Notamacropus eugenii: one gene and its partner. Each later gene encodes a partner of the first gene's protein in a complex. Links are inferred from orthologs where the notes say so. Each region holds a gene or a part of one and is shown on either strand. Other genes may lie near its edges. The genes, in order: POLA1 and POLA2.

Region 1 (16,312 bases):
AATTACAGATAAGCAGAAAGAAGTGAGTATAGAAAATATAAGCAGAGAAATTAGCACACAGATTCAACAGACGGGGCTGAACAAAGTAACACAGCCACCTACGTATACCACCAGAATGGAAGGGCACCACCATCCAAGTAGTTGGAGGACTCTTAACAAACAGCTACTCAGAGTTCCCTCCAGGGAATCTCACGAGAGAGCCCCTCAAAGCAAAATGCCAATGTCCCAGAATATATAACAAGGACTTGGCCCCTGATCGACTCAGAGCCAGTAGGCATGTGACCCAGCAGAGCTGTGAATTATCAGGGTTCAAGGGAGATCAATCCTTCAGATGTTCACAATTTAGCCTGAGCCTGGGAAACTGAACTCCAAAAAAGAAACCAACAAAAATCCCACCTTGCTTATGCTTGTGGCAGGGAGGGGAGGATAGATAACTCTAAAGATCTCTTTTAATTTCTAATCTGTGATCCTGTAATCCCATTGTGGATGGAATTTTCCCATTATCAATGTCTACAAACATTTATGGAGTACCCACTGAGTGCAGAACACTCTACTAAAAGCTTGGAGGAAATATCAAGATTAAATATGAAATGTTCCCTACCCTTATGGGTACTGTAGCTTGGGAATGAGATATATAGTTGTAAATAACCCTAATACAAAATGATACATGGTAAAATCTTTAGAAAGATGCAAACTGAGTGTTGAGTGGGATCCAAAAGGGAAATTTCTTTACAAAGAGGGGGGCGTAGAAGCAAGAGAGATGAAAATGGATTCTATTGCAATAATTCAAGCCCACTGTACAAAGGTGGTACCAGTAGAAACAGAGCTGAGATGACTTGAGATTTTTGTGGAGATAGAATTGACTGAACTTGACTATTGTTTGGAAGTGGGAGTGAGGAAGAAGGAAGAATTAAAAGGCAACACCAGGTTCTCAAAAGTGGGAGACTGGGCAAATGGTAGTGACAATGACAAAAAGTTTGGGGCTTGGGGGAAGGGTGACACTAATCTTTTTTTTTTAAGTCAGCATAAACTAACATTTAAGACACACTTTTTCAGAAGATCAGGCAGGAATGTCTTTTGTGAGATAGAATTTAGAAAAGTTCTTAGTTCCTAGACATGAACACTTGGGGATGAAATGCCTAGGAACACTGTGTAGGAGTTGGCACTTGCTGAGATGATATTGGGACTCTTAAAGCCCAGGCAATATAACTATGGTATCAAATGGAACTCAGGCTGGTGGGAGTTTTCTAAGCAAAATTGACAGCAGGTCCAGGACAACCCCAGGCTTTTGCTTTGGTTGGGGTCACCTCAAATGAGGTGACCATGAAAGAAATTCCTACTGAGTAATAGGGATTATGGGAAGCCTTTAGTAAGCATCAGGCTAACCACTAGTCCCTTCATAAAAGACATTGTTAAGGAGGGATTCACCTTCCTGATCACTGACAAGGTTCTCTCTCTCTCTCTCTCTCTCCCTCTCTCTCTGTCTCTCTCTCTGTCTGTCTCTCCTTCTGTCTTTCTCTCTCTCCCCTCTCTTTTTCTCTCTCTCCCTGAGGTATACGTAGCATCAATAAGGAAGCAGAAAAGTCTCTGGATGTGGACTTTCCGAGATTGGTAATAATTCCACATCACTATGAAGAAGAAGGCTTATTATAAAACCCTGTTAGCAAGTCATCCAGAGAAAATGAAAACCAAAAATATAATCTCCTGTTAATGGTGGAATAGTTGAGCACAGGCCAACTTGCATGTTCAAAGTTGTGATGAGTACTAGTTCATAAAGATACCTTGATGGAAATCATGAGAGTGTCTATGGCCTTTGGTAGCACTTCCTTGACTATATTATTGGGTGGGGCTTGATTTTACAATTGATTCATCTGCTTCACAGAGGAATACTACTATTCTCATGGCAGCAGATTGTTTCTCAAAGACGTGCCACTTGGCACAGAATCAGAGAGAGAACAATTTGGACAATTGGAGAGAGCAATTTACACAATGACTACAACATTGCAAAGAAAAACAACTGCTAAAAGGCTTCAGAATTCTGATAAATGAAATAATCAATCTCAGTTCCAGAAGACTGGTGATGAAGTGATGAATCAGAAGAGCAGGAGGAGATATTTTTAGACATAGCAATGTGTGAATTTGTTTTTCATGACTGTAACAAAGAAAGGTTTTTGGAAGGGGAGACTGTTGAGGTGGAGCAAGGAAATGGAGAGGTAGTAATAGTGAAAATGATACTAAAAAATGGAAATAATGTCATTAAGTTACTAAAAACAAGAAATTAATTAGATCAGGGGTGGGGAACCTGCAGCCTCATGGCCACATGTGGCCCTCTAGGTCCCCAAGTGTGGCCCTTTGACTGAATCCAAACTTCACAGAACAAATCCTCTTAATAAAAGGATTTCTTCTATAAAATGTGGACTCAAAAGGCTGCACCCAAGGACCTAGAAGGTCACATGTAGCCTTGAGGCTGCAGGTTCTCTACCCCCATTAGATGTTCTAAAGTGGACACAGACAAGCAAAGCAGTATGGGAACCAACCTGTTAGATTTAGAGTATTCAGTAACATAAACATAAAACATTCAGAGTTTTATATATAGTCCTCCATTTCTGTTTTACTTTGTGTTTGGAAATGTTCATGTCTGTTGATTGTCAAATTCATAACAATAAAAAAGCAAATTTAATTTATTTCCCTTTAAAATTAAATTTTATTTTTAGTTCTGAATTCTCTTCCTCCTTCTACTTCCTCCCCTTATGATTGAGAAGGCAAGAAATACAATATCCATTATACATATGAAGTTAACCAAACTATCTCTGAATTAATCATATTCTGAAAAAAAATGAGAAAAGGAAAGGGGGAAAATATGCTTCCATCTGTACTCTAAATTCATCAGTTCTTCTTCTGGAGGTGGACAACATTTTTCATTGTGAGTCCTTTGTAACTGTGGTGGATCACTGTATTGATTAGTTACTAAGTCTTTCACAGCTGATTATCTCCACAATATTGCTGTAAAATGTTCTCCTAGCCCTGCTCACTTCTCTCTGCATCAGTTCAAAAAAGGAAATTTTTAAAATGTAATGAATTATCTGATTCCATGGGCCAAGCTATCATCCAGGATGTGATTTTTTTTTCAGAATGTTATTAACTTGCATAGGTTTCTCAATCAGATGGTCTACAACTAAGTTCTCAAGAGGAGTTCAAAAGAGGGTTCGAAATTCAGCTAACTACCCTACTCTCCTGCCTAAAAGCCAATGGGTTTGTAGAGGATATTAAATAGTATTGATGCTCTCATACTGCACTTTTCAGCAGAACTGAGTTTTATTCCTGTTAACAGGCAATTTTTTTCCAGGAATTGTGGTTGGAAACGGATTCGTTTAGGTATCCTATAAAATCTCCCCATGTAGTTGACTAGCAAACATATCAAAGACTCAACAAATACCACTTTTGAAGAACTGGGAACCACATCTACAAATGGAGAAACTGGGCCATCTAAGCATTATGATGGACACAGAAACTGGGGAAAATCAAGACCCTAGCTCCAAAACGGAAACTCAGAAATCATGTCTGGTTAAAAAAAGTGTATTTTCTGGTATGAAGTTCCTCGCTGGCTTTAGATGACAAGTATTCAAGCTTCTTTATTATCTCTTTGTGTCTGAACTCAGTGACCTCTGGTCCAGTACTACTGACCTGGAAGACTGAGTCTTTCATTTTAAAAAAAACTGTATCTACCATATCCATTTGTCTTAGATTTTCTAGGGCAGTCTCAATTTTAAGAAAGTTTAAGTTTAAAAAGGCTTTGAAAAAGGAATATCTTTTATCAGACATAGGTGTGGAATGGATATTTTTGGATATAATTTTCATATAGATGTAATTTTCAAATGGATATAATTTTCACATTGGGTCAGTGTTTTAATATCTTTTGCTGAACTGTTTCATTTGGGAGCCAGGCAGTAAGGTGGTGCAGTGGATAGAGCACCAGTGCAGGAGTCAGGACCCGAGGTCAAATCTCACCTCAGACACTTGATACTCACTAGCTGTGTGACTTTGGGGAAGTCACTTAACTCCAATTGTCTCATCCTGGGTCATCTCCAGTCATCCTGATGAGTATCTGGTCACTGCACCCAGAAGGCTCTGGAGGAGAAGTGAGGCTGGTGACCTGCACAGCCCTCCCTCACTGAAAACAAAGTCAAGTGCAAGTCATGTCACTATTTCTCTGATGGCATGGTCTTCAGCAACACAGGACAAACACACACATTTCGGAAAGGGGTGTCATAGGGAAGTTAGGGTGGCATCATTGGCAAGGGAAAGCAATGTAAAAAAAAAAAAAGACCAAGAAAATAAAAAAAAATTCTTTGTCAGACCTTAAGTTGTTCCCCATATGTAGATATCAAGCCTTCCTCACCTTTGCTTTTAAAAATCACTGACTTCTTTCAAGATTCAGCTCACATGCTACAAGATTTCTTGTTAGTTATGTTGCTGTTCAGCTATTGTTTTGGTCACATCCAATTTTCTGCTACCTCATTTGGGGTTTTCCTGGCAAAGGCAATGAAATGGTTTGTCTTTTCCTTCTCCAGCTAATTTTATAGATGAGGAAACTGACACAAAGAAGGTTCAGTGACTTGCTCAGGGTCCCACAGTCAGATCTGAACTCAGGAAGATATCTTTCTCAATTCAGGCTTGGCATTCTATCTACTGTACCATATAGCTGTCCTTCTTATTGCTTATTCATTCCTAATTTTTCATTCCTAGGAAAATCAGTCTGAGACAAAAGAAAAAGAATTCATATTCTCATTCGGTCAACTAGCATTTATTAAATATCTACCACATATCAGCACTGTGTTAAATGCAAGTCGTCAAGAAACAAAAAAACTGGATTTGGACAAAAGACACAAAATTCAATGTCTTGGTTAGTTTTTTTCTTGCTGTGAGTCAGAAGAAAACAAAATATACAAATAAGTTTGTATTTGATAAGCTTATGAAACAGAAACTGTCATGCTAATTTAGAAATATCCTTGTCTCCTTTCATACTGAGCTCCAAAGAAGAAAGACATGCAGGGCAGTTGGGTGGCAGCTTTCCAAACTATGAGCCACATGAGTGATGACTAAGCAGAAGTACCAAAGAAAGAAAATATTGTCGCCATGGTGGCATCAGTTGCCCTTGTTGGGGTGAGGGAGAACCATCTGCCATGTGGATAAGTTTATCAGGGAACTGCTGTTCTTCTCCATCAAGAATGAAAAATGGCATTCTAAATCATCACCTAAGAGCCATGGGTAGATAACCGAAGTTTAAATATTGGAATACTATTGGAAGGAGCTTTTTTATAGCCTTGACGGATGGAAGGCTGTCCTACTGAACACTTCGAAAACAAAATTCTTGCTACCAAAGTCCTTGGCACTGTCAAATGGGTCAACATCAGACATGGGGATATGATTTTATCAGTGGAAGTGACTTTATTTTTTTAAAAATTCATTTGTTTTCAGTTTTCAACAATCACTTCCCTAAGCATTAAATTTTCTCCCCCCCCCCAGATGGCATGCAATCTTATATGGGTTCTACACATACACAGTTATTAAACACATTTTCACATTAGTCATGTTGTATAGAAGAATTAAAATGAATGGGAGAAATCATGAGAAAAACCAAACCAAAACAAAACACAACACAAGAGAAAATAGTCTGCTTCATTCTGTGTTCTGATTCCATAGTTCTTTTTCTGGATGTGGATGGCATTTTGCCTCAAGAGTCCTTTGGGAATGTTTTAGGTTCCTGTATTGCTGTGAAGGGCTAAGTCTATCAGAAACAGTCCTCGCACACTGGGGCTATTACCGTGTACAATGTTCTCCTGGTTCTGCTCATTTCGCTCAGCATCAGTTCATACATGTCCTTCCAGGCATCACTTGCTCCTCATTTCTTATAGCACAATAATACTCCATTCCATTCATATACCAAAACTTGTTCAGCCATTCCCCATTGATGGGCATCCCCTCGATTTCCAGTTCTTGGCCACCACAAAGAGAGCTGCTATAAATACATTTGTATGTATGGGACCCTTTCTCAATTTTATGATCTCTTTGGGATAGAGTCCTAGAAGTGGTATTGCTGGGTCAAAGGGTATGTACATTTTTGTAGCCCTTTGGGCATAGTTCCAAATTGCTCTCCAGAATGGTTGGATCAGCTCACAGCTCCACCAACAATAAATTAGTGTTCCAACTCTTCCACATCTTCTCCAACATTTGTCATCTAGTGGAAGTGACTTTAAACATCTTTGACAATTTGCTTTGTTCCCTAAAGATCATGGGACCTTTCCATCAGACTCTTATCTGAAATCTCCTATGTATGTGGTTACTCCCATTAGAATGTGAGCTCCTTATATAAGGAAATTCTTTCTGTGACTCAAGGGGACTTACAACATACAACACTCTACTCTGGGTCAGGAAAGTGAGTTCAAATCCTGCTTCAGACACTTATCAGTTAGGTGGCCCCTTGGTTTGGTCATCCATAAAGTGGGAAAAATAGTAACATACACTTTATAAGGCTGTGCTGAGGTTCAAATGAAATAATATAGGTAAAGTGCTTTGTGAGTCTTAAAGCATTCTCTAAGTGCTAGCTATTATTACCATCCTTATTATATCTCAGGTCCAACATCAAAACAGCATGGGGATTCACATGCCGATGTACCTTACAGGTTCGCATGTTGTCCATTAGATTATGACTGCCTTGGGGGCAGGGACCGTCTTTGGCCTGTTTTTGTACATCCGGCCCTCGGCACACATTAGGAGCTTAATAAACGTCTACTGATTGATTGACTAAACTCAGGGAGCTCTCCAAGAGGCTCATCAGGCATTCCCTACACACCAGCGGAAGCTCAGGTCAGACACAAAAAGGACAGTTAAGAGTCTGTGCCTGGCATTGCGCTGCGGACTAGGAACACAAAAATAAGTCTCCTATTTGTACAGTCAAAGGGTTCGATGTGATTATCTCTAAATCTCCTTCCAGGTCCTAAGGCCTGTACCGGCTTGAGACAGGGCAAGGGGAAAGAGGCTGGGGCTCGGCGGGCATCGCGGACGTTGGCCACGGGGATGAAGGCGCTGGGCTCAGTGGGCACCACGGACGTTGGCCACGCGGATGAAGAAGGCGCTGGGCTCAGTGGGCACCATGGACGTTGCCCACGTGGATGAAGGCGCGTGGGCTCAGTGGATGAAGGCCTGTGGGCTCAGTGGGCAAAGGCCTGTGGGCTCAGTGGGCACCGAGGACGTTGGCCACGCGGATGAAGAAGGCCTGTGGGCTCAGTGGATGAAGGCGCTGGGCTCAGTGGGCACCGCGGACGTTGGCCACGCGGATGAAGAAGGCCCGTGGGCTCAGTGGGCACCGCGGACGTTGGCCACCCGGATGAAGAAGGCCCGTGGGCTCAGTGGGCACCATGGACGTTGGCCACGCGGATGAAGAAGGCCCGTGGGCTCAGTGGGCACCGCGGACGTTGGCCACGTGGATGAAGAAGGCCCGTGGGCTCAGTGGGCACCATGGACGTTGCCTACGTGGATGAAGGTGCGTGGGCTCAGTGGGCATCGCGGACGTTGCCCACGTGGATGAAGGCGCGTGGGCTCAGTGGATGAAGGCCTGTGGGCTCAGTGGGCACCGCGGACGTTGCCCACGTGGATGAAGAAGGCGCGTGGGCTCAGTGGGCACCGCGGACATTGGCCACGCGGATGAAGAAGGCCCGTGGGCTCAGTGGATGAAGGCCTGTGGGCTCAGTGGGCACCGCGGACGTTGCCCACGTGGATGAAGGCGCGTGGGCTCGGTGGATGAAGGCCTGTGGGCTCAGTGGGCACCGCGGACGTTGGCCACGCGGATGAAGAAGGCGCGTGGGCTCAGTGGATGAAGGCGCGTGGGCTCAGTGGGCACCGCGGGCGTTGCTGACCCTGTAGATCGTCCCGGCTGGCTCCGGGGAGCACGTTCTAGGCGCAGGGATGCTGCGGACAAGAGAGAAGACAGGCGGAGAGGACAAAGTCCAAGTGCAGAAAGAGGAAGGGCAGGCGCGGGGCGCTGCCCTCGAACTGACCACCACCCCGTCCGTCTAACAATAAAAGAAAGGATCTGGTCGCACTCAGTGTTCGATAGGGTGAAGACCTCCGCATAGCAGCCAGGGCCCCCCCAGCGCGCGGATTCCGCCCGCCCGCGCCTAGTTTCAGGGAAGGCGAGTCTTAGAACCCGAGAGCCGCCCTCTCCAGGCAGGTTCTCGTTCCCTCCCGCCCTGGACCAACTGCGCATGCGCCCCCTGCCGGCCTTCTTTCAAGCGCCCGGCCGCTTTCTTTCTCCGCTCTCGGCCCAGTCTGAGTTTCCCGCGGGTCTAAGGACTCGGGAGCGCGCCGAAAGCCGGGATCTGGAGGAGGAGGCGGCGCTAGGGCGGGGACACGGCCGAGAAACGCCCGGCGACCCCGGACTTCCGGGCGGAAGTCGGCCGCCGTCGGCGGGCGCTGATTGGCCGGCGGGGCGGCGCGTGTCTCTGCCCCCGCGCCAGTTTCAGCGCGTTGGCGCGGAATCCTGAGCCGGAGCCCGTGGACCATGGCGCCGGTGCGCGGCGCGGAGCGCGAGCCCGGGAGCAGCGGTGAGGACCGAGGCGTGGCCGGGGCCCAGGGGGCCCGGGGCGGGGAGGGTGGCGGCGGCCCGAGAGGCTCCGGCCCCGACCGGGGCGAGCGCTCGTGGGGGAGGGGGAGCCTGGAGGTCTGGGGAGTGGGGAGGGGGCGGCGGAGAGTGCGGGCGCGGTGGCCGTCGGTGGCAGCATCACCAGGTGGCAGACCTGCGTCTAGGGACGCGGGAGCCCCGAGGCTCCTCCTTCCTCATCCTGCCCTGGGGGAGCTGGGGGCGGGTCCGCTCCGACCGCGCTGGGCGTCCCCCGCTCAGGCCGCAGCCCCCGGACCCCGAGATCCTCAAGGCCGGTGCCTTGGTTTTACAGACGAGGAAACTGAGGCCCAGCGATGAGGAATCTGGGGCAGGAGCTGTTTCTCGGGCACCTTTCGGTCTCTCCGCCGCACTCCTTTTCCTCGACCTTCTTTCTCGATGTAACTGGAACTTTGGGTGTCCCTGTGGGGCACCCCTAGTGTCCTGCACGTTGTGCCTGCGCGCTCCGCCTTAGGAAATGAGCTTTTATTTTTTCATTTTTTTGCCTGTTTCACTCCAGTGGTGTCTCTAGAACAGCTCAGCAACATCCCGTTTGAATCTGGACCAGACGGTGGTCATTATTTCTGCACAAGTATATCCCATACATTTCCTAAGTGCCATGCCGAGGAAAAGTGTGTTCTGGCTTCTAAGGGGATAGTTTTCCACTTTATGCATTTTAAAATGGTTTTCAGATTCATCCAAGGAAAGGGGGGTAATAATAATGTTTGCCCTCTGGTCGTTTACTAATATGCTTAAAAATAGTGGTTACAAGTTAGTGCTCATATTTTAGTATTCTTTTATCAGAGAAATACTCCGGAATGGATATCTTGAATTCCCTAAAATAGAGTTGGAAACTGCACAATTACCCTAATCCAAATAACTGGATTTTCAAGTGAATACGAGTTGTCAGGAGTCTTGAGTCTGTTTTCCTTCTAAAGATCCGATGACTGACGGGCCTTTGCCTTCCTGGCCCAGTGTCTTCATCTCTTGTCAAATGGATACTTTCTTACTAATGAAAACTTTCTAATCAGTTTCAGTTTCATTCACCTACTTGTAAATTACAGATGTCAGTTTGCAGCAGTTGCTACAGTGGAGACTGAAGCCTTAAGACAGTGTGGTAGACCTCGTTGGTGTGGGGAACTGTCAGGACTGCATTACAGAGGAAATGGATGAACGTGCATCCTGACCTGTCACTTAAGCAGTGATTTGCTGCTAAGCTCTTCTTTTATCTTTTAAAAACTGAACTTCATCAGGGAGCATCAAAAATCACTGCTTGGGTGATGCTGTGCAATCTGGAAACCCCTCTTAAGTTATGGGCTGTGATTATGTTGCTTTGATGGGCTTGTGACTAGAATGTTTCCTTTGGAACATGCTGAAAGATTCATTTATTGTGCTTTTTTCTATAGCCTATCTATAGACTTTTCTTTGGGGGTGCCCCAGATGGTTCTTTTTAATCCAGCATTTGTGATTGCTAGAATCAGCCATTTTTTTCTATTAAAAAAAAATTTATACGTGTGAAGAAAGTGTTTAAAAAGAGGAAGGAGAATTATTTGTTTATGTTTAAATTGGAGAGTCAAGGCCCATTGTTTTCCATAGGTACTAGAACTTAGGGAAAGTGAGATATAGCTTGAAAATCTTATAAGCAATTGTTTACCTAGATATGATTTTTTTTACCTTGCTGGAAAGATGTAAAGGAAAGTTTATAGTAAAGCATTGACTGTAAGCTTCTGATTATTCCTGGTGCTGTACTAGGTGTACTAGTGAGAGAATTACTAGGTAATAATGGCTAATAATAACAGCTACCATTTATGTAGTGCTCTGATGTTTTGTAAGGCACTTAACAAGTATCCTCAACAACAGCCCTGGGGAGGGAGGTGCTGTTATTAGTCTCATTTTACTGATGTGGAAGCTGAGGCGGAGTTGTGAAATGACTTGCCCAGCATCCTACAGATAATTAGTGTTTGAGGTCAGGTCTTCCTGACTCCAAGTCTAATGTAAAACCCATTGTGTTACATAGCTGCGAGATCAAGTTCTTATCCTCTCAGGCACACACGTTGACAGAACTCTAGGTATAGGATCCATCTGTCCATAGCAGCTCAGGCATACTTTAATACATCAAAAGACCAGGGATTTCATCCATGTGACTAATTTCTTGCAAATGTAGATTGCAGTTTTCACATGTAGTACAGGTTTCATGAATTTCTGTGTTTAGAAAAATTTGTAACTTGGTAGCCAAACTTGTACTGATGAGCTTCCTGGGACTTAGCTAGATTGGTCCTTGATTATATTGGCCCTGGTGGCATTTGTGTTCCACTGATAGGTTCTTCAGGACATGTTATGTGCTCCATGTTGTGACGAGTCGTTGGAGGACTTCAGAAGAGGAGCCCACATGTGCAAGGAATTTTTTTGATGTTTCACTGAGATGCCTGATCTCATTTTTGTGGGATGATGGCACATTTCTCTTCAGTGGCAGAGAATGCAACCATCTGTGCTTTCTTATTTTGCGCTATTTTTTCCCCTATCTTCTTAAAATTCCTTCATAGTTTGTTTACCTAGTGTGCTCGAGGGCTTGCTTTAGGTCTTTTAACATTAGTAGGTACTAGTGACACAATTAGGCTGTCTGCCCAGTAGTCTTCATTGTCACCATATAACAGAACCATCTCCTTTTCTGGTCTTCTATTTCTTCAATAATATCTTTATACCATACCTTGGGCTTGAGTCATTATTGGTATTATCTTGCACAAACGTTTGAACTGACAGTAGAATAAAAATGTCCTCCCAACACATAAATGAACAGTAAAGTCAAGAGTAGTTACATTTTTAGAGATAGGGGCATTTCTAACTACAGAATTGAAGTAGAGGTCAGTGACAATAACCTTAGAATTTTCATTTAAGTCCTTAGCATATTTAGAAGAATTTTCTGATCAGTCTGGGAAAACTTCTTGAAATTTTGTGTGTGTGTGCGTGTGAGTGTGATAAGGGAGATAGAGCTAGATGTCTTTTGGGATTTAAGGTGGAGTGGGAAGGAAGGAAATGTTTCAGGTGAATGTCATTTCTTTGGACAAGTACCAAAGTAGGCATGGCATAAAGTAGACTTTGAATAGACATTCTAGATTGGTTCTGGGGTGGGCTTAGGAGATAAAAGAGTTGCAGAAGCTTTATGAAGGATTTTGAATGATCCATAAGAGAACTGGAAATCATTGCAGACATAAAAAAGGAGGGTGATAATTCAGTTCAATTCAGTGCCAGACACTATGCTAGGCTTTGGAGATACAGGGACCAAAAGGAAGCCATTTTTGCTTTCATGAAGTTCATATTCTACAGAGGGGAAACAATATGTGTGTGGGGATGGTCAAAGTGACAAGCACAGAAGACTTTGGTGGGAAAGCATAGTTTGAAAAGTTGGTGACTGGCAGTATCACCAATGTTAACTTACTCACGTGTCTCCAGGTGCCTCTCCCTGCTGTAAATCGATGATCAAGTGATGTTGACTGCAGGTCCCAGGTGTTTTTCACTGTTGCTTCTTGCTACTCATTATTCACTTCCATCCTCTGTGAATTCAGATTTCCTTACCTGTAAAAATGAAGTTGCGATGGTAGATGCTATGTAAGAATCCTTCCTGCTCTGATAATCTGTAGCTCTCTGAAGACTATACCATGGCTTACGCAATAGTGCCTAAGCTTACTGGTGTTGGTACAAGTAGAATTTTAGACAGTGGTGTTAGGAGGATAGACCGCATGAGTACAGTTTTCTAGGGGAACTAGATTTCTAACTGATGTCATATACACTAGGGGTGAGATGTAGATGACTTCATCTCATAATCTGAAATCATCCCAAGTTAAACCTGGGTGTTACTACAGTTCTCATTGTTTAGTATGTATTTGGGAATATATTTTAATATTTAAATAACTTGGCAAAATATGTTAATCTCTGGTCATTATTCACTGCTACCCTGCACATATGGGATATGACCTTATTGTCAGTATCATGCTTATGAAGAAAATGGACATCGAAATAGTAATAAGATAAATAGAACTCATTATGAGCTGCTTCTCCTTTTTAAAAATCAGCATCTTTTGCCATATAGGCCTGGCCTCTGTTTTTGTTTGTTAGAATTTTAGGCTGATATCCATTTCTCAGTCTAGTCGTTGAAAAATAACAAATGTTTTTTTCAGCCTAGAATTTTTTAAAAAAAGCTGACATTAGGGCCATTATTAGAATTTCAAAAGAATTAGACTTAAAGCAAATTTTGCCATGTAATTTTTCCTTTCAGTTGCTTACATTTTCTTTGTGAATATGCACTTTTGGGCTGTTCTAAGAAGTGGATGTTAATATTGGGCAGAAAATATCTTGGAGCTCTGGAGATCGAAATTCTCCTATCTCACGATGTTAATTTGCTCTCCTTCAGGTGTATCAGATTCAGGGCGTTGGATGGCTTCCCGTTCTCGGAGGGAAAAGAAGTCAGTAAAAGGGAGGCAGGAAGCACTGGAAAAACTGAAAAAGGCAAAAGCTGGAGAAAAGCTTAAATACGAGGTAAGTATTCACTTCTCATGACTCAGTCTTGTTTTCTCCTCAAGTTCGTACAGTGTTAGCTTATATAAATCCTCTCACAGGCTGAAGAAGTGTTTTAGTATCCCTCTCATCAGTCATTAATTTGTAAAATTGAGCTTTCATTATGTGCACAGGATTGAGTATTTTATGGTTTGCAGGGGAAATATTGCAATTGGGTTTCTTAAAAGGTAGCTAACGTTTTATTTAAAAGTTTTATTTTTTTTTTGTTTTTTTTTGTTTTATTGTTTTTTTAAACATCACTGTTACTTCCTCCTACTGTCTCTCCACCCATTGAATCTTCCTTCCTGAGCTAAGGCAGTTGACACAGCAGCTGCCCATGTATATCACATTCCACATCTGTAATTCTCTCCACTAAGAAAGTTTTTCCTTACTCGTTCTCTAGGACTGAGCTTGTTCATTACGATTCATGAGCATCTGACTGCTTTTTAGTGTTGTTTACATGATAGTGGACATTGTGTGTATCCTTCTCTTGGTTCTGCTTTCTTCACTCTATCATTTCATACAGGTGTTCCCATGTTTCTGTAAGTTCTTCATATTCATCTTTTCTTGTAGAATAATAATATTCTATTACATTCATAGAACATATTTTGTTAGGCTCCTTCATAATTAATAGACATCTATTCCAAAATCCTTTTGGATGAATTATATGCATTGAAGAATATTTTTCTGTTCTCTGTTAGTGAATACTTTGTATGTAAGTGTGTGTAGGTCTTTGGGTACTTGCTCACACACATGTGTATTGTGCACAGGTTGGTGCCAGAGCAGATAATTCATGTGTCTTTTCTTTGAGGAGTCTCAAATGTCCTAAACTTAATTTTTAAAAAGTAAAAATTTAAAAAGTGAATCTACCCCTCTTTCTAAAACTGATTTTGAAATAGGGATTAAATTTCAGGTTCTCCTCTAGTTATTTTAAATTCAGTCTATAGAAACAGACTGCTGCACTGTTTGTACTTTTGCCAATTTTAAGTGTGCATTTTTGTTAAAATCCATTAATGTCATATTGCTCCATGAAGTCTTTTTTACTTAATGATTTTTCATAGTAATTCCTTTTAAAAATTTCTAAAGTCTGGTGCCCAGTGTGCTGAAAGAGGCTCTGTTCGTCTTGGGAGTGTGTGAAGCTACAGGTGTAAAATGTGTGTGCAGTTTGTCAGTGCCGCTCTTGGGAGTACAGAGATGATAGGCTTTAATTTTCTAATCTTGAGAAGAAAGCTATTTCCAAATTGTCTAATTACCTAGGATGCAAAAATCAGAACTACACTTACTGTGAGGTGGTCCTGCGTCTAACCTGAAGTGAGATAGTTTATTTCTAGCTTTTGCATGTAGTCTTTGTACAGTGTTTAGGCAATGTACTTTTGGTACTTCAGAGAAAAGAACCTGGTGATTATGCAGCTGACGTGGGGAGGAGGAGCACCAGCACAGTTTGTAAAGAATATATAGTCTTGTATCGCAAGCATTGACAGATGTGGTCACCGTGTCACTGGTTTTTGCTTGGCTGTCTCTTTGTTACGGCAGAGGGGCCTTTCAGTGGGGGAGGAGTCCAGAGATGGCCCATGTAAAGACAAGCATTGATAAAACTTAGTTTTAAAGAAAGATCACTAAAATACTTTTGTTTGGCTCTCTAACATGTTTCTTGGCTTTCTGGTTGTGGGAATTGGGAAGGGCAGCTGCTTTACCTTGCTGCTTATTTGGCTTGGGAGGATAAGAGTAAAAGTAATTCCCATATCATCACCTGACACTGAAGGAGGGAGCTAAGTTCAGAAGCTTACAGGGAATATGGAAAACAGGCCTGGAAATCCTCAAAGCATGTAATCAAGGGCTGACTATAATTCGGTTTGTTTTTGATAAAGTAGATGGGTAGTTGACAGTGTGACAAGCATGTTATGCGCATAGAGCTGTCGGGTATTATATAAGTAGTTTGAGCTGGAAGGGGCTTTAGAGATCACTTGTTCTTACGTGTAGAAGATGATTTAATTGCTGTTGACGTGAGCTAACAACGTTTACTGTGTGAATGGCTACGTGTGTGACCTTGGGTCAGACCCTGGAACCTTTCTGGGCCTCTGTTTCCTTATCTTTGTGACAGACACCAATACTTAAGTATTAGTATATACCAACAGTGCTGTTGTAAGGATTAAGTAAGAATATATGTGTAAAATCAGTGGTGGTAAAATCAGTTTAGACTATTAGATGTCAGTCAGTAAACATTTATTAAGCCCCTACTATGTGCCAAGCGCTGGGTTAAGTTCTGGGGGTACGAAGAAAGGCAAAAGACAGTTCGTATTCTCAGGGGGCTCAAAGTCTATGGGGAAGACAGCATTCAAACAAGCTGTGTACTAGGTGGTGCAGTGGATAGAGCACCAGTGCAGGAGTCAGGATGATCTGTGTTCAAATCTCACCTTAGACATTTGACACTCACTAGCTGTGTGACCTTGGGCAGGTCACTTAACCCCAATTGCCTCATCCTGGGTCACCTCCAGTCATCCTGATGAATATCTGGTCACTGGATTCAGATGGCTCTGGAGGAGAAGGGAGGCTGGTGGCCTGCACAGCCCTCCCTCACTCAAAACAAAGTCAAATGCAAGTCATGTCATCATTTCTCTGATGGCATGAAGGATGAACACACGCACTGTTCAGCCAATACATTTTTTTTTTTTTTACAGATGAGTAAATAAGCCTAAAAAATGTGAAATTTCCTGTCAGAAGTCATGCCAGCAGACAGAGACAGAACATCAGCTCAGATCTCCTATGACATATTCTTGTTATTTGGTTGTTTCAGTCATGTCTGACTCTTTGTGATTCCACGTGGGGTTTTCTTGGCAAAGGTCCTTTTCCAGCTCATTTTACAGATGAGGAAACAGGCAAGTAGGGTTAAGTGACTTTGCTTAGGATCACACAGCTCGTAAGTGTCTGAGGCTGGATTTGAACTCAGGTCTTCCTGATTGCAGGTCTGGGGCTCTGTCCACTGTCCCAGTTAACTGCTCCATTATGCTGTATTCCCTCTCCATATTTTAACATCCACTTTTAGGAAAATCCTGTGTGTAATGGCACTGCATGATAGAACTAAATTTTTTGATTGTAGCTACTCCT
Region 2 (15,299 bases), on another chromosome or scaffold:
GGTGGCCAGGGGAGAGGAGAAACCGCAGTGCCAGCCTGCTGGGGGCACCCACGCTGAGCTCCCGCACCGCTTCTCTTTCCATCCTCCTCCTTCTCTTTCCTTCAATGATGCCTTTCCGGATAGAGGAGGGGAAAGGATATATTTGGAAAGAAAAGATATCAAGAACTTTTTTTAAAGCCCAAAAAAAGTTAAGACCTCCAACCCATCCAAAGTGTCTGCTGTGCCTAGCACCTTGCCCATCAGTGCAGGGCTGACACTGAAGAGAAGCCACCTCTATGGCATTGTTCTTCATGCCCTAAAGGTCTCTTGCTTCTGCTCTCCCAGGCACAGACCTCAGGGAGTTTGGGGGGGATGGATTCCAGATGGGAAGCAGCAGTAGATGGGTGTCCAGGACCCCAAGAAACAAGGCTAAGGCCCCTAACTTCACTGGAGTGGACATGCTGCTCCCTTGGTGGCTAAGTGGAATGATCTCCTCGTAAGCTGGCCTGGAGCTGCCGTTTCCAGGAAATGTCCCAGCTCCATGTAACTTGAGTGAGGGAAAAGAAGTAGGTTATGTAACATGAGAGGTGCTGATTAAGTTCCTTTAAAAACATATAAAAACAACTCCTAATCCTTTGGCCATTTTAGAAAAAAGACAAGCTGGATAAATCCTATTGAACCAGCTGGCAGGCTGCTATCAGCAGTTTCTTATCTAGGAAGCAAGCCCTTGAAAACAAGCCCTTGAAAACAGGGTGGAAACCAAATTTCCTCAATGACTCTAAGATACAGTAATTTTCCACAAAGAGAGGAAGAGCCAAGAGGATGCAAGGTGAGCAGGAAGGCTGAGCAATCATTGGTACAAAACCTTGGTTTTTCACACAATCGTCCCTGTTCTTGGGGTAACTAAGACCGTCTGGGCCTCCAAAGCACCGAGTCTGGCCCCATACCTTGGAGAGAAGCTGGATGGGGAGAAGAGCAGGTGAGGACTGCGAGCAGCTGATACATTCCGCTTGGACTGGGGAGTCTCAGGGGTGCTGACACTGCGCTTCTGAGAACCCTGCAAGCAGATCAGCCCATCAAGGGCCAGGCAACGTTAAGTCCAAGCTGGTGAACGAGGAAGGGCAAAGTCTCAAGAAGGGAAGATCCACTGATGACCAGGGAAGACCGTTAGTTCTGGAGGCCCAAACTTGCTGTCTCAGAGAAGCCTGTCCCAAGTGAGAACCCAAACCCCCATTTCCAACACCCCACTTCAAGTTTCCTCTAAAGCCCCATTGTGACAGCTCACCATCAGGGGCTATGTAAGGTGGCAGGTTTTACTAAGCTGCCATGCTATAACAATGTGAGACAGGGATGGAGCCTGTGTCTACAGGATGAAGGTCAGTCTAGTTAAACTTATAGATGTCCCATAGTAAGTTAGCTTCTGTCCTGAAAGCCACCTATAAGCCATGGGGCATTGAAATCTGACATAGCAGGGAATATCCACACCTCTATAAAGCCACAAACCCTGGGAGTCTCAAAAAAGGTCCAAGGCAGGAACATCTCTCCTGTTGACTCTTGGCCGATCAGAAGGCCTCCTTCTCTGTACTTTACACAACAACCTTCAGTTCTGCAACACAAGCTATCTTGACCTGCGGATATTTCTCTGAGATGGGCTAGGGCCAAGTCACCAGTCATTCTAAGAAGTTTAATTAGTTAGTTTTTCTCAAACTAGAAAAAAAATAGAATGACTCTGGGCAGGTAACATGTCTGAACTCCGGCCACTTTCTAAGGTACAGTTGCCAGAGAATTTGGTATTTTACTCTTTAATCAAAGTCCTAGGATGAACCTTGTGTGGTGAGGAAAACTGGCAGGTTCTGGAATGCTGGGAATTCACTTTCTCTAACTTAGTTTGTCAGACTCTAGACAAGAGGAAAACACTGGGCTCCGCTTTCCCTGGGGAAGGCCAGGGAATAACTTGGCTGCAGGAGGGGCAAAAAGTCAATCTCTGCCTGGAAGAGAACCAGAGACAGCCGCCACTGCAGCAGCTCTTGGGCTCCCCCTGGAGGCCCGACGAGGCCAGGCTCATTAGAAAGGAATGCCCTGAACTGTACAGAAAATACATAGCATTTGTCATTTCAAGACTGGTTTCCCCAAATCAAGCGATGGCAATAACACTACTGTTGAGGAGAAGCCTTTCTTGCTCCATGTAAGTGCAGGGGCTTTCCCGCCAGCAATGCTCCCTAAGGTCTCCTGTCTAGAGCTTGTCTGGACACAGTTGGAGGTCTGTTCTCTCTCCCATTAGACTGGGAACTCGTGGAGGGTAGGAAATGTCCTAGGCCTTTCATGGGATTCCTGGAGCTAAGCACAGTGCCTGGTAAAAAGTAGGTACTTAATACATGCTTATTCACTGACGGATCTAGGTGCAGTTTCATATGGTGATGCTTTCCAATGAAGATCTTTTCCCTTCTTTGGTGATACACCAACCTTGAGCTGCAGAGGGACAGGACAAACTCACTCTCACAAATCTGACTCCAGTGGGTCAGCCTCACTTCCTTTACCTGGACAGAACTGATTTCCAGAGAGCTGGCTCAGGAGCTGCATGGACTGATTGGTTCAAATCCTGAGCTTGGGGGAAGTGTCCACTCACCTTGGAGGGCGTGGCGTAAGAGTTCAACAGGGTCTCTTCTTGGGCCTCCACTTCAATCCTGAACATCAGAGTTATGGAAAACCCTGCCCCTCCCCTGCTCCCAGAGGCCAGGGCTTGGGATACATTACCAACACCTTCCCAGCTACCAGAGGGCTTGGCACATGCTGCCAGCACCCTCCCTCCCCTTAGGTCTCTAGCTGGCACCCTCATTCTGACTGGAGAAGGATACAGTTCTTGGATGGAGACGATGTCCCAGGTTCCTGGGTGGCTGCTGTCCTTCTTGGTGGGACCGTGCCTCGCTTTGGCCAACCTTTTGATCAGAAACTGAGGAAGAAAAGGTGGTGACTCAGTGTCAGCCCAAGTCCCAAGGCACCGGCTCCCGTTCAATAAATGATATTAAGTGCTAGGGAAGACACATTGCAGGGCTTACAGTCCAAGAGTGCGATAAGACACGGACAGGGACAATATGAGTTTGGGTACATTTCCTGGAGGGAAATCATGAGATGAAGTTGGAAACGCTGGGAGGCAGGGGGGTGTGGGGAGCCTTGATATCAGTCGAAGTCTCCTGAAGTTTGCTCAGTGGGATCAATGGATCTGCTCTAGATTTCTGAGTTTCTCTGGACTGTGATGGAGCAGGAGGTGGGGGAGACAGAGGCCACACACCTGTCTGGGAGCGACTGTCATTGTCCCAGTGTGTGAGATGAGCGTAAGAGAGCGTAAGAGAGTAAGGAGGAAACCCACAGTGGAGGGACAGACATGCCCACAAGAACCCCAAGATTTCAAATGTGAGAGATGAGGGTAAGGCTGGAGCCAGGGACAGAAGCGATGCCCTCTGAGGGAATGGCCAACAATTCAGAGTTTGGTTTTAATTTGCTAAATCTGAGGGATGGCAGCATTTCCAGGGAAAGCCATTGTGCAGCAGTTAAAAAGATTAGGACTGGAGATGTGACTGCAGGGGAGCTGCAGCTCTGGACATGAGTGCAGGACATAAGCCTGCTGGAAGAAAGGGCTCAGTGACAGAAGAGGCCGAGACAAGACCCAGGGACAGCCCAGGGAGGGGAGGAGTTAGCAAAGAGTCACCACAAGGTGCTTCAGACGCCCAAAGAGAAAAGAGGATCCAATGGGAAGGTTGGCCATCAGTGCAGACAGCCAGGCATCAGCCACCTAAGAGATCCCTGGGGACCGGAGGGCACAGCGTCAGGAGAATGGGGGCCAGGAATGAGTCAAGAAATGACAAAGCGCCCTCTCCTCTCCTCAAAGGATTTGTTCAAGATAAAGCAGAGGTCAGACTACAGAGGCTGAATGGAAGGGTGGAGGAGGGGCAGAGAAAAGGAAGGACATGGGATGGCAGGATCAAAGGAAGACCTGGAGACCAGGGAAGTCCTGGGGGGAGGCCCTGAGGAGGCAGGGGAGCACAGGCCTGTGCATGGATCAGTCCCAGCCCAGAGGACTGAGCTTGGCTCTGGGGGGACCAGAGGAAGCAGGAGCCAGCAGGGGAGGGGATGTCAGCCAGCCGTCCTCTCCAAGTGCTTATCTTTCTCGTTTCCTGTTCTTATTTTTTTACATTAGACAAAATGACATGTAGCTTCTTTGGGGATCAGACCGCAACCCTGATTTCAGGAAATGCCACTGATGTTCTAACCTACACTTTGAACACAGGGTAAGTCAGGATACCAAATTCAAAGAGGTCAGTGCCAGGCTGAGTCCACACACATCCAGTAGAGGACAGGCTTTCTCACCTACTCACTCTACAAGACCTTGTAGAGCAACAAGTCTAAGGGCTGGAAGGTGTGTAGGGATTGAGGTGTCCAAGCCCGAGCCAAGAAAACAACCACAGTGGTTACTGCCCTGGAAATGGGATCACAACCAAAGACAGTTAAAAATGAATGTCACAAGTTATGACCCGCAAGCGTGGTGTCCAAGGACAGATGTAAGAACATACTTTCTCTTCTTTTACAGCGGAGGGCCGTTGCACGTGGGGAATACTGCATGGAATGTCCTATTTTTTCAATGTATTGATCAGTTTTGCTAAGATTTTTGCTTCTTATTTTTCCTTTCTTTTTAAAAAGTTTTTGTTATAAAGGATAGCTCTTTGGGAGTGGGGAATAGGAAGGATATAAGGGGAAATTTAAGTAATATGAAACAAAAGATAATAAAAAAAATCTATTTAAAAAGAAAACTTACAGGCTTTCTCCAAAGCTAGACCCAGAAAAATGTACTGTTCATCAAAGCTTAATATCTAAGGTGACAAAAGGATGGGTTCATGAGGAAGATGTAAACTATGTTCCAACATCTTGTTTGCTCAATGCCAAATTGTATAAAATAACTGACTGCAAAGGGACATGTAACATATTAAAAATTTTTTAAAGGTGTTAAAAAACACAGAGTCGTTCAGTCCAATGATTTCAGGAGCTTTTCTGTGCCAGGGTCCATGTGTCTTGGGATGAAGAAGACGCAGGTTCTGCCTCCAAAGAGAAAACAGCAGAAAAATTCCACATAAACACCAGGGCAAGCCTTGGGGTGTCACCTGAAGTAAAGAAGTGGCTTGAAGGGCCAAGATGCCCCTGGGTACAGCCTTGGGATGATTCCAGCCACAGGCAGATACCATGGACTGGGAGATGTGGGCCAGCAGTTTGCGGGCAGGAAAAGAAGCAGAGAGGGACTGTTCTTGGCCAGTCAAGAAGTGGGAGGGTGAAGGATGAAGGAGAGCGTAAATTTGACCACAGCTGAGTATGAGGTCAGGAGGCACGAGGCTCATGGCCCTAGTGGATGGGAAGGAGATGGAATATGATAGACAGGAGGAGAGAGGGGAGGTAACTGAAGGTCTGATCCACACAACAATACTAGGAGGTAGATATTATCACTCTCATTTTACAGGTGAAGAAACTGAGGCAAACAGGATGAAGCGACTTGTCCAGTGCTCGAGGCCGGACTGGAACTCTGGTCTCTCCCACTCCTTAGGCTGACAGGACTCAGATGTAAAGGAGACTTATTATTTCCAGAACCACAAGTGCTGGGGTCTGCCTCCAGCTCCCAGACCGTGGCTTTGTTCTTACCTCATTTTCAAAGGAGCTGAGGGTCTCCAAGGTGAGATAGACTTTGCCGGTGTTGCTGCTAAAGGCCACGAGCTCGGCCACCAGCTGGTCCTCCGTCTGCCGGTACAAGGGACACAGCTCTGCCACTGCAGGGACACAGGACAAAGCGCACGTCAGTGTGGACGCTCCCCTTTGGCTTTTTCACTTTAGAAAGAGCAAACTTTTTGGGGGAGAGCTGGAGACTCTCCCCATCATCCAGAGTCCTGGCGCTGGGTGGCCGTGCCATCCCTTACAAGAGGGAGGCTGCTTTATTTCTGTTTGGGCCAAGAGTAGAGGGCGGCAAAGGGTGAGGCCAGAGAAGCTCTAGAAGAGCTCTATGAGCAGATGCAGGGAACCAGGAAAGCACAGGGCTACAGCAAGGGGAAGGCAAAGAGCCCCCCAACAGAAGGAGGAGGTCCCTTAGTGGGGGGGGGGGTCTCTCCCTGGAGGGAGACAAGCCAACAAGCATTTATTATGCACCTCCGGTGTCCCAGGACCCCTGAGGGCAGGCTCCACCTTCCATCCCGGAGGATAGTCCCTCCCCCCTTTAGCTGGAGCTTCACATACAGTAAGCACTTAATAAATGCTTCTTTCCTCCATCCTCGGTGTGTACCGGGCGTACAAAGAGCTCAGCTCTAATGGAGGGGATGATGGGGGCTCTGCAATCACTCTCATCCCCCCACAAGTACTTGGGGGCTGGGGAGGGATCGGGGAAGGCTCCCTGCAGAATCTGTTGGTGCCCCAGGAGGGGCGCAGGTCAGGCTGGGGGACGGCTGGGCAAAGGCTCGGCGAGGGAAGATGGGGGGTGGGCATGGCGGGGTGCACTCACGCTTCTCGTAGGCCGCCTCCTCGCAGTCCAGGCCGAACATCTGCAGCTCGGAGGCCAGGCGCTCGGCCGACACGGAGCCGGCGCCCCCGGGCCCCATCCCTCCCGCCCGGCAGGGTTACCGAAACAGACCGAGAAAAAAAAAAACACCCGCCAAACTCCTCCGCTGCGCAGGCGCCGTCCCAGGCGAGGCTGCGTCCAGCCCCTTCCGCCCTGCCCCAGCGCGCGTGCGCCTCACCTACTCTCCCCGGCCCGCGATCCGGCCGGGCGCAGGCGCGCTGGGTGCCGGCGGGAGGTGGGGGTGGGGTGCGCCGTGCGCGTGCGCCGCTAAAAGCCAAACACCTGGCTCGCTCTGCGACCAGTAGCACCTACGGGGCAGGCGCTTCGCGCTTCATCCGGCCCCCTGCCGGAAGCCTTTCCTCGCGCGCCCCCGGGGACGGGCTCCAGCTTGTCCGCCCAGCCCGCTGGAACCTGGCTGTTTCCTTGTGGGTCTCCCTCCCCAGACGGGCCGGCCTTCGCCTCTCCTTGCGGCCCCCACCTGTCGGGGCGCGGCGAGGCCCAGCTGAGGGAGTGCGCGTGCGCGGCGCTCTGCGGCCCTTACAGCCCCGTATATAGTCGTATATACACACGTGTACGGCAGCGGTCTTGGAGCGTGGCCTTGGGAGGCCAGCCCCCACGCACGTGCTTGCTGACTCATCTCCGAGGGCCTTTCCAGGTCTCCGGCTCTGGCCAGCACATCCGTTGTCGCTTTGTGTAGCGACCCCTCTCTAAAGCAGCCGGCACTGCCTGACAGACCCGGGGTCTCGGGGGCCGTGGCAGAGGGCTGGGCAGCTGGAAGTGCCCAGCGCAGCCGCAGGGCCCTCAGGCGCCATGCTCGGCACGGGGAGGCTGAGGGCACAGCCCCCGGGAGCTGGGCCACCGTGCGACAGCCGAGGGGCCTTTGTGCCCGCTCCCCGAAAGGCTTGGGCTCCACAAGTGTCTGGGGGAATGAATGAATGAATGAATGAATGACTCTCGTCCCTCCAACGGGACTGAATCCTGAAGGCACATGCCGGACATTTCTTGAGGGCACCCGAAGCCCCTTTACTGCACATAGAGAGGAGACCATGACTCAGAGTAGTAGCTGATGCCCACGGGTAGACAAGTCAGAATTAGGTCAAATCTGAGGCTTCCTTCCTCCAGGCCCAGCTGTACCACTGTATCCACTGTACCGCCCAACTGCCTATGTCTCCTCCTGTTCTGAGCCAGAAGGACCAGAGCTCGCCTACGGTTAGATGGACCTACAACAGAGGAAGAATCCCCCTCATTTCATCGTAGTGCAGGGGCAAGGCAGTGGGACAGCGCAGTGCTGGGCAAAGAGCCACCAGACAGCGGTGCAGGGGATTTTAATCCTTTTATTAAGTGGGTTTGTTCGTGAAGTTTGGGTTCAGTAAAAAGCCGCATCCAGGAATCTAGAGGGCCACATGTGGCCTTTCGCCTCAGGTTTCCCACACCAGATAGAGACTTACAGCAGCTCTTCTTTTTCCTCACTTATTGTGTTCCTCCTTCATTGCCAAAGAAGACCATGCCATCAGAGAAATGATGACATGACTTGCACTTGACTTTGTTTTGAGTGAGGGAGGGCTGTGCAAGGTCACCAGCCTCACTTCTCCTCCAGTGCCATCTGAATCCAGTGACCACATATTCATCAGGATGACTGGAGATCACCCAGGATGCCCTGGGAGACCTTGGGCCCTTTAGGCCAAGGTCTTTGCAGGTGCTCACTTAGGGTGAGGTAATGCCCATTGATTGAGTAAGCCTTTTTACGAAGTAGCCAGGGATGGCCCCTTTAATGAGACTAAGAAAAAGCAAGACATCAGTCTTGGAGGGAAACAGCAAGGGTTACTATTGATAATCACTGTAACGCCAAGAGAGTCCAGAAGAACCCTTAGGCAGGGGCCCATTGGTGTCCCAGCTTCAGAATGCATTAGGTTTAAAGTTTTGGGAAAGGAAAAGACAGGATAGGACAGGACAGGAAAGGAAAGGAAAGGAAACTAGCCAGTAATATCCAAGTCAACTGGGCACCTTCCTTTGGAGAGGAGAAGGAAGGGGAGGAGGAGGCAGATAGGGGAGAAGGAGGGCACAGAGAGCCTGTGTCTTTTTGTGCCTTTGGAGCACACACTCAGTTCTGGCTTAGCAACCAGGTCAGAGGTTCGAACAATCACCGAATACATGCACATGATCTGAATTGGAAGAGGACCTTTGCATTACACAACATCCCTTACATAAACAGGCTCACCAAACCTTCACTCAGATTACCAATGGGCAGAACATGGTAAGTTTACTCTAAGGGCTCCTCCTGACCATTATGTATATTTGATCTGGGTGGTAATAATGGGGAGTCACTGGAGTTCATTGAGTAGCAGAAAGGCATGGTCTGACTACTGATTTAGGAAAATCAGTTTGGCAGTTGAGTGGAGAATGGACTAGAGTGAGGAAACAGTCAAGATGGGAAGACCAATGAGCAAGCTATTGCAAGTTCAGAAAAGAGGTAACAAGGATCTATACAAGAGTACTTGGTGTGTGCATGGGGAGAAGGTGATGTATCCAAGAGGGTTGTGAAGATGAAAGAGAAGATGGAACAGCAGATTCAGCATGTAGGTGGAGGTCCAGTCAAGTCGGAGATGACTGAGATTGTGAAGCTGAGTGCTTGGGAAGGACAGTGACACCCTCAACAGTAATAGAGAAGTTGGGAAGGAGGGAGGGGAAGGGGAAAGATAATGAGTTCTGTTTTAGACATCTTGGGTTTAAGAGACCAATGGGCTAACCAGTTTTCAATATCCAAAAGGCAGTTGGTGATGTAGGACTGAAGCTCAGATGAGAGATTAGGGCTGGATGTATAAATCTGGGAAAACTGCATTGAGATAAAAACTGAACACATGAGAGCTGATAAGATCACCAAGTTAGAGGGAATGGAGGAAAAAGAGAAGACAGCCTAGTACAGACCCTTGGAGTATTCCCACATTTAACCAGACCCAGCAAGGAGACTGAGAAGGAATGGTCATTGGGATGGGAGGAGAACCTGGAAAGAACAGTATGATGGATACCTAGAGAGGAGGGAGTATTTTGGAGGCAATTGACAGTGTCAAATGCTTCTGAGAGGTCAAGAAACATGAGAATTGCTAACAAAAACAACCTAACAACCCTCCCTCCCAATCCCCTCCCAAAACAAAAAACAAACCCTGTTAGATCTAGTATTGAAGGGATCATTGGTAACTTTGGAGAGAGCATTTTCAAGTGAATAATGAGGTCAGAAGACCAAGTTAAGAAAGAGGGTAAGAGGAAAGGAAGTGGTGGCAGCCTTTTTGAGGAATTCAGGTGAAGTCAGTCTGTGAGTCAATAAACATTTATTAAGTGGCTTGTATGTACCAGGCCCTGTGCCAACCACTGGGGATACAAAAAGATGCAAAAGACAGTCCCTACCCTTGAGGAACTCATAATTTACTGAGGGCGACAAGCAGACATATGAACAAGTGGGCTGCCAGCAGTATAAAGAGGAGATGAATAGCATAAGGAAGTTAGTAGGATGAAGAAGAGTTGGGAAAGGCTTCCTACGGAAGGTGAGAAATGGAAGTGGAGACAGCAGTGGAGATTTAGCATGATAACTACGGGGGTGGTCAGATGAAGTGAGTTTTTTTAAAGGATGGAGAAATGGGCATGTTTGTAGACATTAGGGGAGGAACCAGGAGACAGGGAAACTGAAGATTAGAGAATGGGGTTGATACTGAACAACCTGCTGCAGAAGACGAAACAGGATGATATCAAAGGTGCATGTAGAGGGGTTGGCTTTTGCAAAGAGAAGACCCATCTCTTCCCTGAGATAGGAGATAGTAGGAAAAAGTGCCCAACTATTGTGAGATGAGGAGGAGAGGAAGGATGGAGTTTTTTCAATGATTTTTTTTTTTTGGAGAAGTATGCAGCTAGAGGATAGGGAAAGGGATACCATAGTTATTTTCAGGAGTCAAGTTAATAAGCATTTATTAAATGTCTACTGTGTGCCAAGCATTGTACTAAATCTGAGGATACAAAGAAAGACAAATGCCTGCCTGTAATGAGCTCCCAGTCTAATGGGGGAGACAAAATGCAAACAACGATGTAGAAACAATATATATACAGGATAGATTGGAGAATTCTACTTATGGAAGGCACCAGCCTTAAGAGGCAAATGCAAAAGGCTTTTTTGGTAGAAGGTGGGGTTTTAGGTGGAACTTCCTTGAAAGAATAACTTGGGGTTTCATGGTATGAGGACTGCTGAGCCCTTTTCAGGGCTACTCATCCACTTTTAGGATCCATCTGCCACCCAATGGCTCCAAGAAGCTATAGAAGGTACAGTAGACATGCTCCCATTTCAGCATACAGCCTAAACCAGGTGGAGGGTAAGGGAGGGACCTCAAACCCCTAAGTGAGTTGGGGGGTATCTATCCAAAATATGTGATATCTTAGACCAGTGGATCTGGTGGATGAGAACAATTTGTTCCAATGTGCCATGAAGGACACAGCAGCAGGTACTGTGAATCACTTAGAGCTTGGTTAAATATTGAATGTGCCAAGGTCATCCCCTTCATCCTTGAGCCATTGCCAGTTGTCCTGACTTTTGTCTTGCCACTCGACTTTGATGACTCTAGAAGACAGAGTGAGGCTGATGGCTTCATGAAACTCTGCCTCACTTAAGTTGAATTTATGGGTGAGTCAAAAGATATTACCCATACCATTTTACCATTTTTACCTACCTCAAAGTCCTGTGGCAATAGGCAAGTGATGAAGCAGCAAGTATGGATATAGCAGGAACTGTAGACACAATCCTGCAAATAGGTGGCTGAGACAATAGTGTTATTTTCTCACTGAACTAAAGCAGCAGTGGGATTCGGCAGCCCTCTGAGTGTCTGAGTAGCCTTTTAAGGACCTCACTGCTCACCTCCTGGCATGAGGAAGGTCTTAGAAAAAGTGCCCTAAAAATTGTCTGCTTCACCTAACTTAATCCTAGACTGCTTACCCCAGCTGGCAGGGATCACTCCCTGTGGGCGAAACACAAAAAAAATATAAAAACTTTTGGGAAGATGATTCCACTCACCATTGATACGTGGAATGGGTGTACACTTATGGACAACTATGAAATCCAGTAGACTTGAGCTGCTCTTGTTGTGAGAGAGCTTAGCATGTATCATATCCAAATAACCTTGAGTGAAACAAGGCTGGCAAAGGAAAGAAGTCAGAACTGTTTTTCTGGAGTAGCTACAGTGAAGGGAAGCTCTGTGAAGCTGGTGTGTGTTTTGCAATCAAAACCGACCTAGTCAACAAGTGTATATTGCTCCCCCAGGGAGTGAACAACAGGCTCATGACAATATTGGCAGGAAATCGTCATGGCACCATCACTGGCATGTGTGTTCCCACCATGAACCCTGATGAAGTCAAAGAAAAAATTCATGAAGACCCGGAGACCCTCATATCATCATTGTGACAAAAGAGGACAAGTTTGTAATTCTGGGTGATTTTAATGCTAGAGTAGGCACAGACTATCAGACATGGCATGGAGTCCTTGGGAGGAATGGAGTTGGAAACAGCTCCATGAGCAAACCACAATTTCAGTAGCTCCAAAGAAATGTGAGACACACAAATTTAGACATCTCCACTCCAAATGTTCATTTGGATTATTTGTATCTGATCTGTGGGAGAGGCTTTGGAGGTTGTATTGGTCTTATCAGTCACATAGGACACACTATACCTTGACCCTGACATCATGATGCCATTTTGGTTCTTTATGAGCACCAAGGACAACAACCACTACTTGAAGGAAGCCGGGTTTAAATGTATAGGATAAATTTATAATGGATTCTGATTTGTAAGCCTACGAGCCATTCTTCAATAGGCAAATGATAAAAGGATATGAACCAAATGAAGTTTTCAGAGGAAGAAATTTAAGGGATTAATAGGCATTCATTCATTCATTTATATTTCAGACCACTGATCATCAGAGAAATGCAACTTAAAATAATTCTGAGGTTCTTCCTTATGCCTCCCAAACCAGCAAGGACAACAACATAGAAAGATGACCGTGTTGGAGGAATTGTGGGAAAAGAGCAATAAGAATATTGCTGGTGGAACTATGAATGGCTCGTGCCTTCCTGGAAAGCCGTTTGGAACCATGTTGACAAAACTTGCTAAACTGTGCCTACCTTTTGACCCAGGAAAACCTCAATCATGGCTTTTCTGTTCAAACATTTTGAGAAGAGCTTTTTTTGTTTTTTTGGTGGTCAAAAGTTGACCACCTTTCCAGGAATGGCTGAACAAATTGTAATATATAAATGTAATGGAATTTTATTTTCCCATAAGAAATAATGAAGTGGGCAGTTTCAGAGGAAACCAGGAAGACCTTGATTTAGGGTAAAAAAAAGCAGAAGTAGGAAAACAATTTATATAATAAAAATGACATTATTGAGAAAAACAGCACCAAAGACTTTGGAACTCTGATCAAGGCAATGATAAACAAAGATTCCAAAAGAATGAAGATCAAACATACAATTTTGCTTCCTGCTAGACAGCTAAGGAATTTAAAATGCAGAAAGATACACACTTTTGGGAATGACCAAGGTGAGGATTTGTTCCAGCTGATTATACGTGTATGTATTCAGGGCTTTATTATTATTTAGGAAAAATTTACCCAATTTGAGGGACAGATTAATAAAAGAAAAAGTTAAACTAATAGAGACAATTGTAAAAAAAATTAGAAAATAAAGTGCAACGTAATGGGAGAAGAGAGGAAACAGGGTATCTCAAACCCAACACGCAGAATTTATTATCTTTACCTCCCTTTCCAAATTCCCTCTTACTGTTTTTTTCTTTTCTAAAAATTTATTTTCTTTTCAGTTCCAAATTCTCTCCCTCCCCCACCCATTGGGAAGGCAAGAAAAATAAAACCCATTAAAATACATATATTCATACAAAACAAAGTTTCTCATTATCTACATTTTATCTGCTGTTATTGGGGCACCATTGTTATAGTATTCCCGCTACATAGTCAATCTGTTCTCTGTCAATAAACATTTATTAAGCACCTACTATATGCCAGGTGCTTGGCTAAGTGCTGTGGACACAAATATAAAAAAAGAATGACAGTCCCTATTTTCAGGTTTATAATCTAATGAAGGAAGATGACACTGAAGAGAAGTGAACAGGGAAAGGAGAGGGAGGGAGGTGCCTGGTGCAGAGGCATGGATGTCCTAAGGGGTGCAGCCAAATGGCTGGCCTGGGAACCCTCCAGAAATGAAAGTTTGGGGATGAGCTTTCAGCTCAGGTTGTTAATCAGAGGGACTCTTGATTTTTTTTCTTGAGTAAAAGGGTCATCCTTTGACTCACTTCTTAAAAAAAGACCTATTCACTGAGAGGGCATTACCTCACTCAAAATGAGGACCTGGAAAGACCTTAGTCTAAAAGGACCAGGGTCTTCCATTGCATCCTGGGCCATCTCCAGTCATTCTGATGAATATCAGGCCATTGGACCCAGATGGCTCTGGAGGAGAAAGTGAAGCTGGTGACTTTCTACAGCCCTCCTTCACTCATATCAAAGTCAATTGCAAGTCATGTTATCATTTTCCTGATGTCATGGTCCTCTTTGAGAATGGACAAACAAGAAGCTCCAGGAACAAAGACTACTGATGAGCTAGGAGTTCCATGGCTGATGAGATCTTGCAAGATGCAGAGGTTCCTGGGGTATGATAGAAAAGTCCAGAGGGGGAGCAACTGCCTGGGAGTTGAGGAGCATGTCTTTTATCTCAAAATATCTCTTGTAAATATTCCCTTCTCTTTACTAATACAGAAACCAACTTCATATACAGCCTGTCTACTTCATGCCTAGACTATTGCAACAGCCTCTGTTTGGTCTCCCTGCCTCAAGTCCCTCTCCACTCCAGTCCATTCCCCATTCAATGATTTTCTTAAAGTCTAGGTCAGACCATGTCTTTCAATAAATTCCAGTCTCTCCTTATTTTCAGCTCCAGGATCAAATACACATTATGAGGTACTGTCCCAATCCTTAGTCCAAGAACAGTACATTTTGTCTACTAGCACTACAAGTAGTGAGTCAAGTAGCTTGGTGATTCTGCTTCTGGAAATCAGAACATAATGTACATAATGGGTACATAATTGGGGCTCTGTCCCAATTCAAATCACAAACATGTATTTGATGACTTTTTTCTGTTGGCTTACTGCAAAAAAAATTCCTAATTGGCTAAGCCAGAACTGACTGTGTATTCCAAAGGCACAAAGAGACAATAGCTCTCTCTGATGTCAGCTTTCAAGTGAGAAGAAAGAAAAGCTTAGAATGCCTTATAGTCCTCATCCCGGCCACCAGGTGGCCATGAATGCATGATCTTCTGTCTTAGTTGTGTTTTTTCTTTCCTGATCATAGGTGAATGGACATTGGACAAAGAAGAAAAATGAGCAATATATGATGAAGCCTGAAAAATCTATGCAATTTATTACATCTTTGTACTGTCTACTTCTGTAAGAGTTGGAGTAGGTTTATCTCCTCATACTTCTACTTTAAATAGTATTTTGTTTTTTCCCCCAATTACATATCAATAAAACTTTTAGCATTCATTTTTACAAGATTTTGAGTTCCAAATTTTCCTCTCTTTCTTCCCTCCCCTCCCCTTCTCAAAATGATAGGCAGTTTGGCATAGTTTATATATGTACTATCATGTAAAGTGTATGTCCATATTCATCACAATTGTGGAGGAAGAAACAGATCAACAGGAAA

The links.
Region 2: the proteins of POLA1 (region 1) and POLA2 are in contact, whole or in part, in a cryo-EM structure (PDB 8G99), measured with the Xenopus laevis proteins. The link is inferred for Notamacropus eugenii from reciprocal best matches to the Homo sapiens genes POLA1 and POLA2. Residues at the interface, in NP_001082055.1 of Xenopus laevis: Gln548, Lys551, His553, Gln554, Asn555, Phe642, Glu645, Val646, Gln649, Asn652, Leu673, Gly675, Arg676, Phe679, Lys1137, Asp1141, Pro1143, Asp1144, Ile1321, Gln1322, His1324, Asn1325, Lys1326, Leu1328, Leu1329, Arg1332, Ile1335, Lys1336, Tyr1338, Tyr1339; in XP_018112289.1 of Xenopus laevis: Met280, Tyr281, Lys282, Phe283, Met284, Phe285, Gln286, Lys287, Leu288, Met289, Ile291, Arg292, Val295, Ser296, Ile299, Glu314, Thr316, Leu320, Pro321, Gln323, Glu324, Thr325, Val326, Gln331, Gly333, Cys334, Asp335, Ser336, Asn337, Gly338.

Annotation. Positions count from the first base shown.
Region 1 is NC_092876.1:452,196,560-452,212,871, reverse strand, and holds the start of POLA1 (DNA polymerase alpha catalytic subunit), read left to right. Parts: upstream 1-8,415; 5' UTR 8,416-8,560; coding exon 8,561-8,603; intron 8,604-13,064; coding exon 13,065-13,189; intron 13,190-16,312. UniProt on the Homo sapiens protein: Catalytic subunit of the DNA polymerase alpha complex (also known as the alpha DNA polymerase-primase complex) which plays an essential role in the initiation of DNA synthesis.
Region 2 is NC_092873.1:18,070,516-18,085,814, reverse strand, and holds the start of POLA2 (DNA polymerase alpha subunit B), read right to left. Parts: upstream 6,729-15,299; 5' UTR 6,606-6,728; coding exon 6,509-6,605; intron 5,787-6,508; coding exon 5,662-5,786; intron 2,930-5,661; coding exon 2,835-2,929; intron 2,664-2,834; coding exon 2,606-2,663; intron 1,037-2,605; coding exon 927-1,036; intron 1-926. UniProt on the Homo sapiens protein: Accessory subunit of the DNA polymerase alpha complex (also known as the alpha DNA polymerase-primase complex) which plays an essential role in the initiation of DNA synthesis.